Linked DNA regions of Rattus norvegicus. The protein of the gene in region 1 interacts with the protein of each later gene in a biochemical or structural test. Links are inferred from orthologs where the notes say so. Each region holds a gene or a part of one and is shown in the gene's direction. Other genes may lie near its edges.

The links. The genes of interacting proteins can lie anywhere in the genome.
Region 2: the proteins of Iqgap1 (region 1) and Braf form a complex in vitro, tested with the Homo sapiens proteins (2 studies listed by BioGRID and IntAct). The link is inferred for Rattus norvegicus from reciprocal best matches to the Homo sapiens genes IQGAP1 and BRAF.
Region 3: the proteins of Iqgap1 (region 1) and Cdc42 form a complex in vitro, tested with the Homo sapiens proteins (6 studies listed by BioGRID and IntAct). The link is inferred for Rattus norvegicus from reciprocal best matches to the Homo sapiens genes IQGAP1 and CDC42.

Annotation. Positions count from the first base shown.
Region 1 is NC_086019.1:144,098,954-144,102,453, reverse strand, and holds part of Iqgap1 (ras GTPase-activating-like protein IQGAP1), read left to right. Parts: coding exon 1-7; intron 8-1,066; coding exon 1,067-1,279; intron 1,280-1,874; coding exon 1,875-2,041; intron 2,042-3,500. UniProt on the Homo sapiens protein: Plays a crucial role in regulating the dynamics and assembly of the actin cytoskeleton.
Region 2 is NC_086022.1:69,382,932-69,386,431, reverse strand, and holds part of Braf (serine/threonine-protein kinase B-raf), read left to right. Parts: intron 1-2,042; coding exon 2,043-2,127; intron 2,128-2,823; coding exon 2,824-3,000; intron 3,001-3,500. UniProt on the Homo sapiens protein: Protein kinase involved in the transduction of mitogenic signals from the cell membrane to the nucleus. Phosphorylates MAP2K1, and thereby activates the MAP kinase signal transduction pathway. Phosphorylates PFKFB2.
Region 3 is NC_086023.1:154,849,012-154,852,511, reverse strand, and holds part of Cdc42 (cell division control protein 42 homolog), read left to right. Parts: intron 1-1,162; coding exon 1,163-1,272; intron 1,273-1,375; coding exon 1,376-1,573; intron 1,574-3,500. UniProt on the Homo sapiens protein: Plasma membrane-associated small GTPase which cycles between an active GTP-bound and an inactive GDP-bound state. In active state binds to a variety of effector proteins to regulate cellular responses. Involved in epithelial cell polarization processes.

The DNA of each region.
Region 1 (3,500 bases):
TGAACAGGTACAATTGAAGGTTTCACACTCGTCCTACACAGGAGAAGCTTTTCTGTGGTGATAAGTGCATGGGATGGGGTCAGTGGGACAGAGAAGGGCTTAGACCCTAGGGTGAGCAGGGGTCTCTCCTCGGGACAGTAGTAGTTAGGGCTCATTTGTCTGGGAAGTTGGTGACTTCTGAATCCAGATGGTGCCCTCAGGGCATGAAACCCCTTTCCCTTCAAACAGAAGAATAGGAAGGGAGAAGGAGAGGGAGAACGAACACAGGATGAACGAGAATTTAATCTGGGGCAGAATCAGTCCGTCTGGTAATTTAATGAGTGTCCTACTGTTGTAATTAGATGAAGTACCTTGGTGCAAGATGTGGTTCCAAACTTAAATTCCAATTAGGAAAAGGATGAGACATCTACCTGAAATCATAGGGCCATTAGAAATTAACCACAGTATTGATTATAAAAATGCCAGGAGTTGCTGGGTATGGTAGGCATGCCTTTGATCCCACCAAATATCTCTGTGAGTTGGAGGCCAACCTGGTCTACCTAGCTAGTTTCAGGCCAGCAGGGCCTACACAGTGAGGAGCTGTGTGTCTGTGTTTTTAAAAAGCAAGGGAGAGGTTAGGAAAGATGGCTGAGTCTGAGGAAGGGAGCTTGTTGCTATTCCAGTGTTTGTAGCTGCTTGGGAGCAGAGGGCAGCAAGAGCCTGCTCAGCTCAGGCGGCCTCTTGGGAGGAGCTCGCAACGGCATACTAGACACGGCTCTACATTGATTTATGTGGTTCTATTGAGCCTCATTTAGAATAAAGTGACAGGGGCTTCTGTAGCTCAGCATCTGCTCTCCTGACTATACCTAGTGTCAGGGAAGCTGGGCATCTGGATTCACAGATGCGCGTTCTAGATGGAATGAGCTATCTCCCCTTCGTGCTGTTCTCTGACTGGCACTCGGGAGAGGGAGGAAATGTGTGCAGCAGTCTGAGAATTGTATCCGAGTGCAAATGCGCTCTCTCTAAGTCTCGGGCTCCTGTGTGAACTGATGAGCACATATTGTGTTGATTTTCCCCCCATCTGCAGGAAGCTGAACATCAGAGGGCCATGCAGAGACGGGCTATCCGCGATGCCAAAACCCCTGACAAGATGAAAAAATCAAAGCCCATGAAGGAGGATAACAACCTCAGCCTCCAGGAGAAGAAAGAGAAGATCCAGACTGGCCTAAAGAAGCTAACGGAACTTGGGACGGTGGACCCAAAGAACAGATACCAGGAACTCATCAACGACATTGCTAAGGTACAGTGAGCAGTGGCGCTTGGCCTTATTTACAGATGCTTCGGGAGCGCTGAGGTACGGCCTCTGACTCTCACAGCAGGACTTCACTTCTGAGGTGGATATTTTTATGTGGTCTAAGTTAATGGGGTGCCAGCCTTCATTCACTAGAGTTTCTGGTGTCTGAGTTTCTCGTCACTCTTAAAGAATCCTCCAGACCGTTTGTTATGATTGCTGTGGGATATGTAAAGTTGGTAGTTGCATGATCAACTCGATTTGTTTGACTCACCCCAAGCCAGGGCTCAGGGTTCTACTGTGACTGAGGAACTTGGTTCTTTCTTTTACCTCCTCTCAGGGCAGTGTTTATGAGGTGTCCAGACCAGCTTTGCAAGTAAACCTAAGCACACAAAAATCAGGGCACATGCTTCCCCGTTGCTAGTGGATATAGGCCGATGAGATTGGAGTTTCTTTTAGGTTTCGAGCGCAGGCCGCCGCCTGGTAAGGTCGGCTGGCAGGTTTGAGCTCAGCGCAGACGCGCTGTAGTGGTCATGGACCATGGTGGTTCAGGAGGCACAGGCCGCCTGTCATCTTTTCCCTGATTGTCTTGGTTGTGCCTCAGGATATCCGGAATCAGCGGCGATACAGGCAGAGGAGGAAGGCTGAGCTGGTAAAGCTGCAGCAGACCTACTCGGCGCTGAACTCGAAGGCCACCTTTTACGGAGAGCAGGTGGATTACTACAAGAGCTACATCAAGACCTGCTTGGATAACTTGGCCAGCAAGGGCAAGTGAGTCTTCGTTTTCAGTCGTTCCAGGGCGGGAACCAGCGGGGTGGAGAGAAGAAGAAACAGCTTCTAGCATGACAAGAGAAGTGTTTTGATTTTTATTAAATTTCCTGTTGCTAATATGGGGAGGGAAGGGAGGGTGTGTGTGTGGGTGTCAAAGGACAATTCAAGAGTTTTTCCCTCTGTCTGCCATGGCTCCCAGGAACTGAACTCAGGTCTCCAGGCTCACTAGGGAAGTGCTTTACTGGCTAAGTCATATTGATGACTTGAGGTTGAATTTTTCTTTTCTTTCTTTTTTTCTTTTTTGAGATAGGATCTCACTGTCTCCCGATTGGTTGGGAACTCACTCTGTAGTCCAGGCTGGGCTCGAACTCAGATATCTGCCCGCCCCTGCTTCCCAGGTGCTGGGATTAAAGGTGTTGGTCACTGCTGCACCTGGCTGCCACTGAACTACAGCACCCAGGACCCACCTGCTGCATTACTTCTTGATTTTGCTTAGGATGTGTGCATAATGCCTGGCTCCGTTTGTTGTTGTGAGGACGTGGGGAGATGGGAGGAGCTTGGAGATGTTCATTGCTAAGCTCTTGTTCTCAAGTGTTAGTTCCGTCTAGGTGTTAGTGAATGGTGGAAGGGGGACGTCTAACTTGACTTCCAAATCTCCCCCTGAGCATGATGGTGCACACCTGAAGTTCCAGCATGTAGCAAGCCTGTCTCCAAACTGACCAACCTCGGAAAGATTTTATAGACCTCAGGCTCCCTGATGCCTGTGGGCAGGATCCTGGGCTGGTCACAAACCTGAGCCCGCCAGCCTTACACGGAAGAAATTGCAGACACCCAGCCTTTTCTGCTTAGAAATTTCAAAACTCAGAACGGTTGAAGAGCCCATGAGCCCTTTCCACAGAGTCACCAGAGTTTAAATTGAGCGTGCTGCACCCCTCCACTCTAGCTCAAGCATGCTCGTCCTCCCGGAGAGACGGGACTGCTGGAGAGGCCGAGTGCAGACTCCTGTACCCTTTAGAGTGTTCTGTCTGTCTTCTGTGCTCTCTGGCTTTCTGACACATATGTCAGGTTTAATTTGTAGTTTGCTCTGCTCAGGTCTAGAATGGTGATTTCACCAGGCCACCCTGACTTCATTTAGAAACCAAGATCTAGCTGTCCTCCTTGCCCCAGCTGACGTTTTTTTTAGGTCTTCTAGACAGATATAGTAGGTCTTCACTTTGAATGGCTGAATACTGTTTCATGAGACAGCTAGATAAGATGTTCTGTTAATCAGCGACCCATTGAGGAACGTTTGCTTAATCTTTAAAAACCAAACTAAAAAGCAAAACCGATGGTTGAAGTTGGAGAGATGGCACCGTGGTTAAAAGCACCGGCTGCTTTTCCAGACGACCCGGGTTCAATTCTCAGCACCCACTGGAGGCTCAGAGCTGTCTGTCACTGAAGCCCCAGGGAATCTGATGCC
Region 2 (3,500 bases), on another chromosome or scaffold:
ATAATTTTAATAATTTTCCAGTCCACATAAATAAGCCATAACTTTTGGGGAAAAGTAGCAAGTTTTTATTTTAAACCAAGTTGCATTGAACCTGTTGTCCATGGTTTTGAGCACTCACTTGGTAAGTAACACCTCAGTCAGAACTGTTAAATCATTTGGAGAATTCCCCAAGTACTTAGTTACCTAACCTGTATTCCCAGGAAGCAAAGGTCATTGTATTTTACCATATATTTTCTTTTTCTTTTCTTCTTTTTTTAAAATTTATTTATTTATTTATTTATTTATTTATTTATTTATTTATTTATTTAGAGTGCACTGTAGCTGTCTTCAGACACATCAGAAAGGGCATCAGATCTCATTACAGATGGTTGTGAGCCACCATGTGGTTGCTGGGAATCGAACTCAGGACCTCTGGAAGAGCAGTCAGTGCTCTTAACCACTGAGCCATCTCTCCAGCCCTAGCATATATTTTCCCTTTTTTTTCATATTTTTATTGGTTATTTTATTTATTTGCATATCAAGTATTATCCACCTTCTTAGTTTCCCCGTCACAAATCCCTTCTCCCCTTCTCCCACCCCTTGCCTCTTTGAGAGTGCTCCCCCACTGGCCCACCCACTCTTGCCTCAACGCCCTAGCATTCCCCTACACTGGGGCATCAAGCCTCCACAGGACCAAGGGGCTACCCTCCCCCCAGAGGATGCCAGATAAGGCCATCCTCTGCTACATATCCAGCTGGAGCCATGGGTCCCTCCATGTGTACTCTGTGGTTGATGGTTTAGTCCCTGGGAGCTTTGGGGGTCTGGTTGGTTGATATTGTTCTTCTTTCTATGAAATTGCAGACACCTTCAGCTTCTACAGTTCTTGCCCTTACTTCCCTATTGGGGTCCCCATGCTCAGTTCGATGTTTGCTGTATCTGCATCTGTATTGGTCAGGCTCTGGCAGAGCCTCTCAGGAGACAGCTGTATCAGGCTCCTGTCAGCAAGCACTTCTTGGCATCAGCAATAGTGTCTAGGTTTGGTGTCAGTAGATGGGATGGATCCCTAGGTGGGGCAGTCTCTGGATGGCTTTTCCTTCAGTCTCTGCTCAAACTTTGTCCCTGTATTTCCTTTTGACAGAAGGAATTCTGAATTATTATTTTTTAGGTGGATGGGTGGCCCCAGGGGCCATGCCTATCTACTAGATGTGGTCTTTATAGGTTCTCTCTCCCCTTTTTGGGTATTTCTCCTAATCCTCTCTGTTGGGTCCTGGGAACCTTTGGGGTCCATGGCATCTGGGACTTTGTAGTGGCTACCCCCAGATCCCCCTCTCCTACTGCTACATGCCTCCTTTCAAATTCCTGACCCTCTGTACTTGTCCCCCATCTCCTCCAGTATCTGAACCAGCCCCCCTTTTTCCCTCCCCTCCTTTCCCAGATTCCTTTCTCACTCTACCTCCAGAGATTATTTTCTTCCCCCTTCTGAGTAGGACTGTAGCATCCACACTTGGTGTGATCTTCCTTCTTCTTGGGTTTCATATGGTCTGTGAGTTGTATCGTGAGTATTCTGAGCTCAATTTTTGGCTAATATCTGCTTATCAGTGAGTATATTGAGTATATATATATACATATATATATATGTATATATATCATGAGTGTTCTTTTGTGATTGGGTTACCTCACTCAGGATGATATTTTCTAGTTCCATACATTTGCCTGTGAATTTCATGAAGTCATTGTTTTTAAGATCTGAGTAGTACTCCATAGTGTAAATGTACCACCTTTTTTTATCCATTCCTCTGTCGAGGGACATGTGGGTTGTTTAGCATATTATTTTCAAATAGTAGTATAGGAATATCACTGTTAGTTGCTTTGTGTGAGATTCAAGGATGTGTGTACCCATAGTCTGTGTTAAAAAGAAGAAAAGTAGTTTATTACTAGATAGTTAAATATAATTTATTTACAGTTTAATAATGATACAGATTTAAAATAATTAGCAAAAAAAAACAAGAATAAATATTTCATGTTTTGCAATTTGAAATTTTGGAGTAACAATTTCCTTTCAGGCGACGTGGCAGTGAAAATGCTGAATGTGACAGCACCCACACCTCAGCAGTTACAGGCCTTCAAAAACGAAGTCGGAGTACTCAGGTGAGTGTGTGCATCACCGCGTTCAGTGGCTTTACTCAAAGAAACATAATGTGCCTACTTGGAGTTTATGTTTACATTGTCTCCCTGATACTCAGTATAATTTGGTCCTGCATCTAGAAGACAAGACTGAATTAATGGAAATAAAAAATAATGCCTGATTGTGTATAATAGTTACTTTTAGGAAAATAGTACTCTAAAAATTCTAAATATATCAAAGCACATTTAAAAGTATATTTAGTCCTGGACCCTAGGACCTGAGGAACATTAGAAAATGAGAGTAAATCCATAAGAAAACTTATACAGGGAAGGTTCTATAGTTATAATTTTATGTGAGGGGAATATTCAACAAAACCGATATTTTAATCCAGAGAAGGCTATTGTATTCACAAGGGTGCATGGCTCCTCTGATACTGTGAAGGACAGAACAGAACAGGGAAGCTAGTTGTGGCGGTGAGAGGAAAATGATTTTACTTCCACTTAGAAAACGTCCTCATAAGTTTGGAACAACTTTAACAAATGAAAGTGACCTCTGCTTCTTCACTCGATAAATTTCTATATTTCTGAACAGAGTTGGAGGTTAGACTCAATAATTATAGGTCAGCCTTGCTTCGTTTTTGGTACGTTGTCCTGAGAGCATTGTATTGATTTAGCTCTCCTTAGAGAACTGTTACACATTGTCACATTTCTTTTTGCCAGGAAAACTCGACATGTGAACATCCTCCTTTTCATGGGCTATTCTACAAAGCCACAGCTGGCTATTGTTACACAGTGGTGTGAAGGCTCCAGCTTATATCACCATCTCCACATCATTGAGACCAAATTTGAGATGATCAAACTTATAGATATTGCACGGCAGACTGCACAGGGCATGGAGTAAGTTCAATGCTGTTAAATCTTCACAGCGCTCTTGAAATCCACTTACGGATACGTTAAAGGTCCTAATAATACATCTATGGGCTGCTTACTAGGTTTCTGTGCAAAGGTACTAACTACTAGAGAGCACTCACATACTAAAAACACTGTTTCTCTAGCTCAGCCTTTGAAGTATACAGAAGTGAGGTGTTTGATGAGAAGTTTATAATTGCAAATGATGATTAGCACTCAGTGGTTTATGTGAACAGTGGAAGTACAGAAAATTAGGAACCAGAAAAGCCACACTCCTACTAAAACAGAGCCATTAATAGTTATTTGTTAATCATTTTTAAAGTGTGACTATTTTTTGTTGCTTTTAAATCATTTTCTTTTACATGCCTACATTTTCTACCGTAAGGCCAGTTGATAAAGTTTTAAATGAATATCTATATTTTAATTCTTGTTGAGGACTTTAAGTTGAAACAGGTATATCTACTGAAGTTTACTTTGTAACCCAAAAG
Region 3 (3,500 bases), on another chromosome or scaffold:
CCTGCATATGAGCATAGGCTGTCTTTCCATTTCTTGGGGCTTGTTATGTTCAGCAGTTTTTCGCTGTTTTTATTTTGTGACTCTTATCTTTGGTTAATTTCTAAGTATTTTATTCTTCTTACATACCTTTCATTCTTCCAAGTTCATTTTTTCTAGGCCATTCCAGTTACAGAGTGGCTTTAACATGCACGTGTGGACCAAGCCTTGCGCTTGGCTTGGGCATTATTATGGATGCCTTCAGTACAGTACTTATTAGTGGGCTTGCTGTGATCATTATGTAGCCAGAAGTAGGTATGATATTTTTAAACCACACCTGTGGCAATAGTTTATTGTTGTTATATTATTACTGAGTTATAGAACTAAAAAAAGTAAAAAGAAAATATGTCAGTTTTCCTTTGTAAGTTATTGGTATATATAAATAGAATTAGCACAGAAAGTGTTGTCCAAACAGTATGTTACTAAGCCGTAGCTTTGTCACTAATGGCTCATATGCTAAGAGCTACACACTCGAAGTGTTGTCAGAGCTGTAGTTTTCCTCCCCCCTTCTTCTTTGAAACAAGAACCTTACTATGTAGTTTTGGCTGTCTCAGAGCTGTCTTTGTGGACCAGGCTGACCTCAGACTTGTGGTGATCTCCTGCCTCTCCTTCCTGTGTGCTGGGTTTATGGGCATCGCCCATATCTCCATATTCTTTTTCCTTTTAAATTACATTTATTTATTTATGTGGAAGCACATGCCATAGTATACATATGTGGAGGTCAAGAAGCTAAATTTGGGAGAGTTGGTTTTTTTCCTTTCACCATCTGTTCCCTGGAGACTGAGTTCAGGTTGTTAGGCATGGCAGCCACCATCCTTACCACTGAGTGATCTTGCTAGCTCCACTATGCTCGTCTTTAATTTTTTTTTTTTTTTTTTTTTTTTTTTTGATATATGATCTCATGGTTACACTTAACCTTCCTGCCTGCGTCTCACTAGTGCTGAGATTATAGGCTTGTGCCAACCATGCCTGGTTTTAATGTGGTATGGGGATTGAATCCAGGGCTGTATGCATGCTAGGTTATCACTCTATGTACTAAAGAGCTATAGCTGTAGGCCTTGACTATAATTTTAATGCCACAAGGATACCAGATTTCAGTTGCTGACCTCTTTAACTTTTTCTTTAGGGCAAGAGGATTATGACAGACTACGACCGTTAAGTTATCCACAGACAGATGTTTTTCTAGTATGTTTCTCAGTGGTCTCTCCATCCTCATTTGAAAATGTGAAAGAAAAGGTAAGTCAGGTCCTGCCTCCTTCAAACCTGCACAGAATTTCTGTTACCCTTTTATAGTGTCAGTGGCTTGTAGATTAACAGCATTTTAAAACCTTGTTTTTAGTGGGTGCCTGAGATAACTCACCACTGTCCAAAGACTCCTTTCTTGCTTGTCGGGACCCAAATTGATCTCAGAGATGACCCTTCTACTATTGAGAAACTTGCCAAGAACAAACAGAAGCCTATTACTCCAGAGACTGCTGAAAAGCTGGCGCGGGATCTGAAGGCTGTCAAGTATGTGGAGTGTTCCGCCCTCACACAGGTAAGGGCTCTGCAACCCATGTCTCTGTGTAGTCAGTTGTTTGGAGCATGAGGATACAGAGGCTCTTCTCCTTTTATTATTTTTTCCCTTAAAAATTTGTCTGTGAATGTATACTGTGTGAGTGTAGTGGGGTGGGATGGGGTGGGTAGGGCTTCTGAGCTGGAGAAGTTTAGGGTAAGAAGTGGGTGAGGAGAGCTAGGACACCAGCATGGACTCTGAAATGTGGAACAGAGCCTGGAGGCCAGGATGCACTTGGTTATGCTAATAAGTACCAAAGGTAGCCGTTTGTCTCTTCTGCCAGTAATAAGGAAATGGTTTCCTGAGGAGCGAGGGCTTTTATCCGACTGTCACAATTTGGCCCTGACATTCCAGCCTTTCGTTTGTGATAGGGGCAATGTAGCTACTTCTTAGCTGAAATTAAGGGCTCAGGGACACTGGGATGCCTGGTTAAGGCTGGGAGGTAAGGGAGGTTAGGGTGCTGTGAGCAGTCTGGAATGCTGGGCCAAAGCAAGTGCTCAAGTCAGACAGTTTATATCGGCTCTCAGAAAGTTCAGGGCTTGCTGATTGTAAAGGACCACCTGAGGCTGGCATGTTTGGAGCAGTTTACATTCTTCCCTTGATTGGAAATCGGTGGGAACAGATACAGACTAAGAACAGAATGTAAAGATGAGGAGCTTAGGGGAAAATCTTCATCTAGGGTTTACACCTAAAACTTCCAGGCCTGCGGTCCTGGTAGTTGGGTGGGTATGATGGTGAAGGGAGTCTAAGAACAGGGAAGGAGAGAGTCTACTCTCAAGAGATAGGCAGTAGGGGTTGGGGATTTAGCTCAGTGGTAGAGCACTTGCCTAGCAAGCGCAAGGCCCTGGGTTCGGTCCCCAGCTCCGGAAAAAAAAGAGAAAAGAGATAGGCAGTAATAGGCAGGAACACTGAAACTGTTGATTATCGGGAATACTTAATTTGGAGCCTGTTTGACCTGTGACAGGTGGATCTGAGTGTCAATTTCTTAAAGCTTATGTGAATTTTACAAAGTTCACAAAAAGGTAAAAGTTGTAGATAATTGGCATTACTGCTATTTGTAATCTGCAGTGAAGTCCCCATTGTAGAAAAAGCAGTGTCTGTAAGCCAGAGATATTTTCAGCACAGTGAGAAACACGTTTAAATGTATATTTAGAAGACCAAAAGAAAGTAAAAATTTTGAGCCTGTGCCTATTATTAGAGTAGTCAGTGCTCTATCAGGGCTAGATCAATAGTTTATCAGAGCTCCATTGTTTAATGTTACAACTTTGAAGTTTTGAAGTCTTAATATAACAATAGCATAGTGAGCAGGAAAGAAATCTGAAACGTTTCTCACTTTTCACATGCCTTAAATCACTTCCTCATATCTTTCCAGATTACATCTACACACTTTAAATCACTTTAATAGACTCTCCAACTTAGTTAAGTGTTCATATCCTAGGAACTTTTTTTTTTTAAAGATTTATTTTATTCATGTGAGTACACTGTAGCTGTCTTCAGACACACCAGAAGAGGGCATCGGATCTCTTTACAGATGGTTGTGAGCCACCATGTGGTTGCTGGGAATTGAACTCAGGACCTCTGGAAGAGCAGTCGGGTGCTCTTAACTGCTGAGCCATCTCTCCAGCCCCCTCCTCGGAACTTTTTAATTTGCATCTGTACACTTTTTTTCACTTTTTTTTTTTGGAGCTCAGGACTGAACCCAGGGCCTTGCGCTTGATAAACAAGCACTCTACCGCTGAGCTAAATCCCCAACCCATGTACACTTTAAATTACTTTCTTAGACCCCTACAAATTACATTATCATTCACATCCTCACACCTTTACAGCTTGCACTTACTGGGGTTACAGAAGTTGGGAACCACCTTTAATGTTGCTGGGAATGGAACTCCAGCTCTCTGGAAGAGAGGGA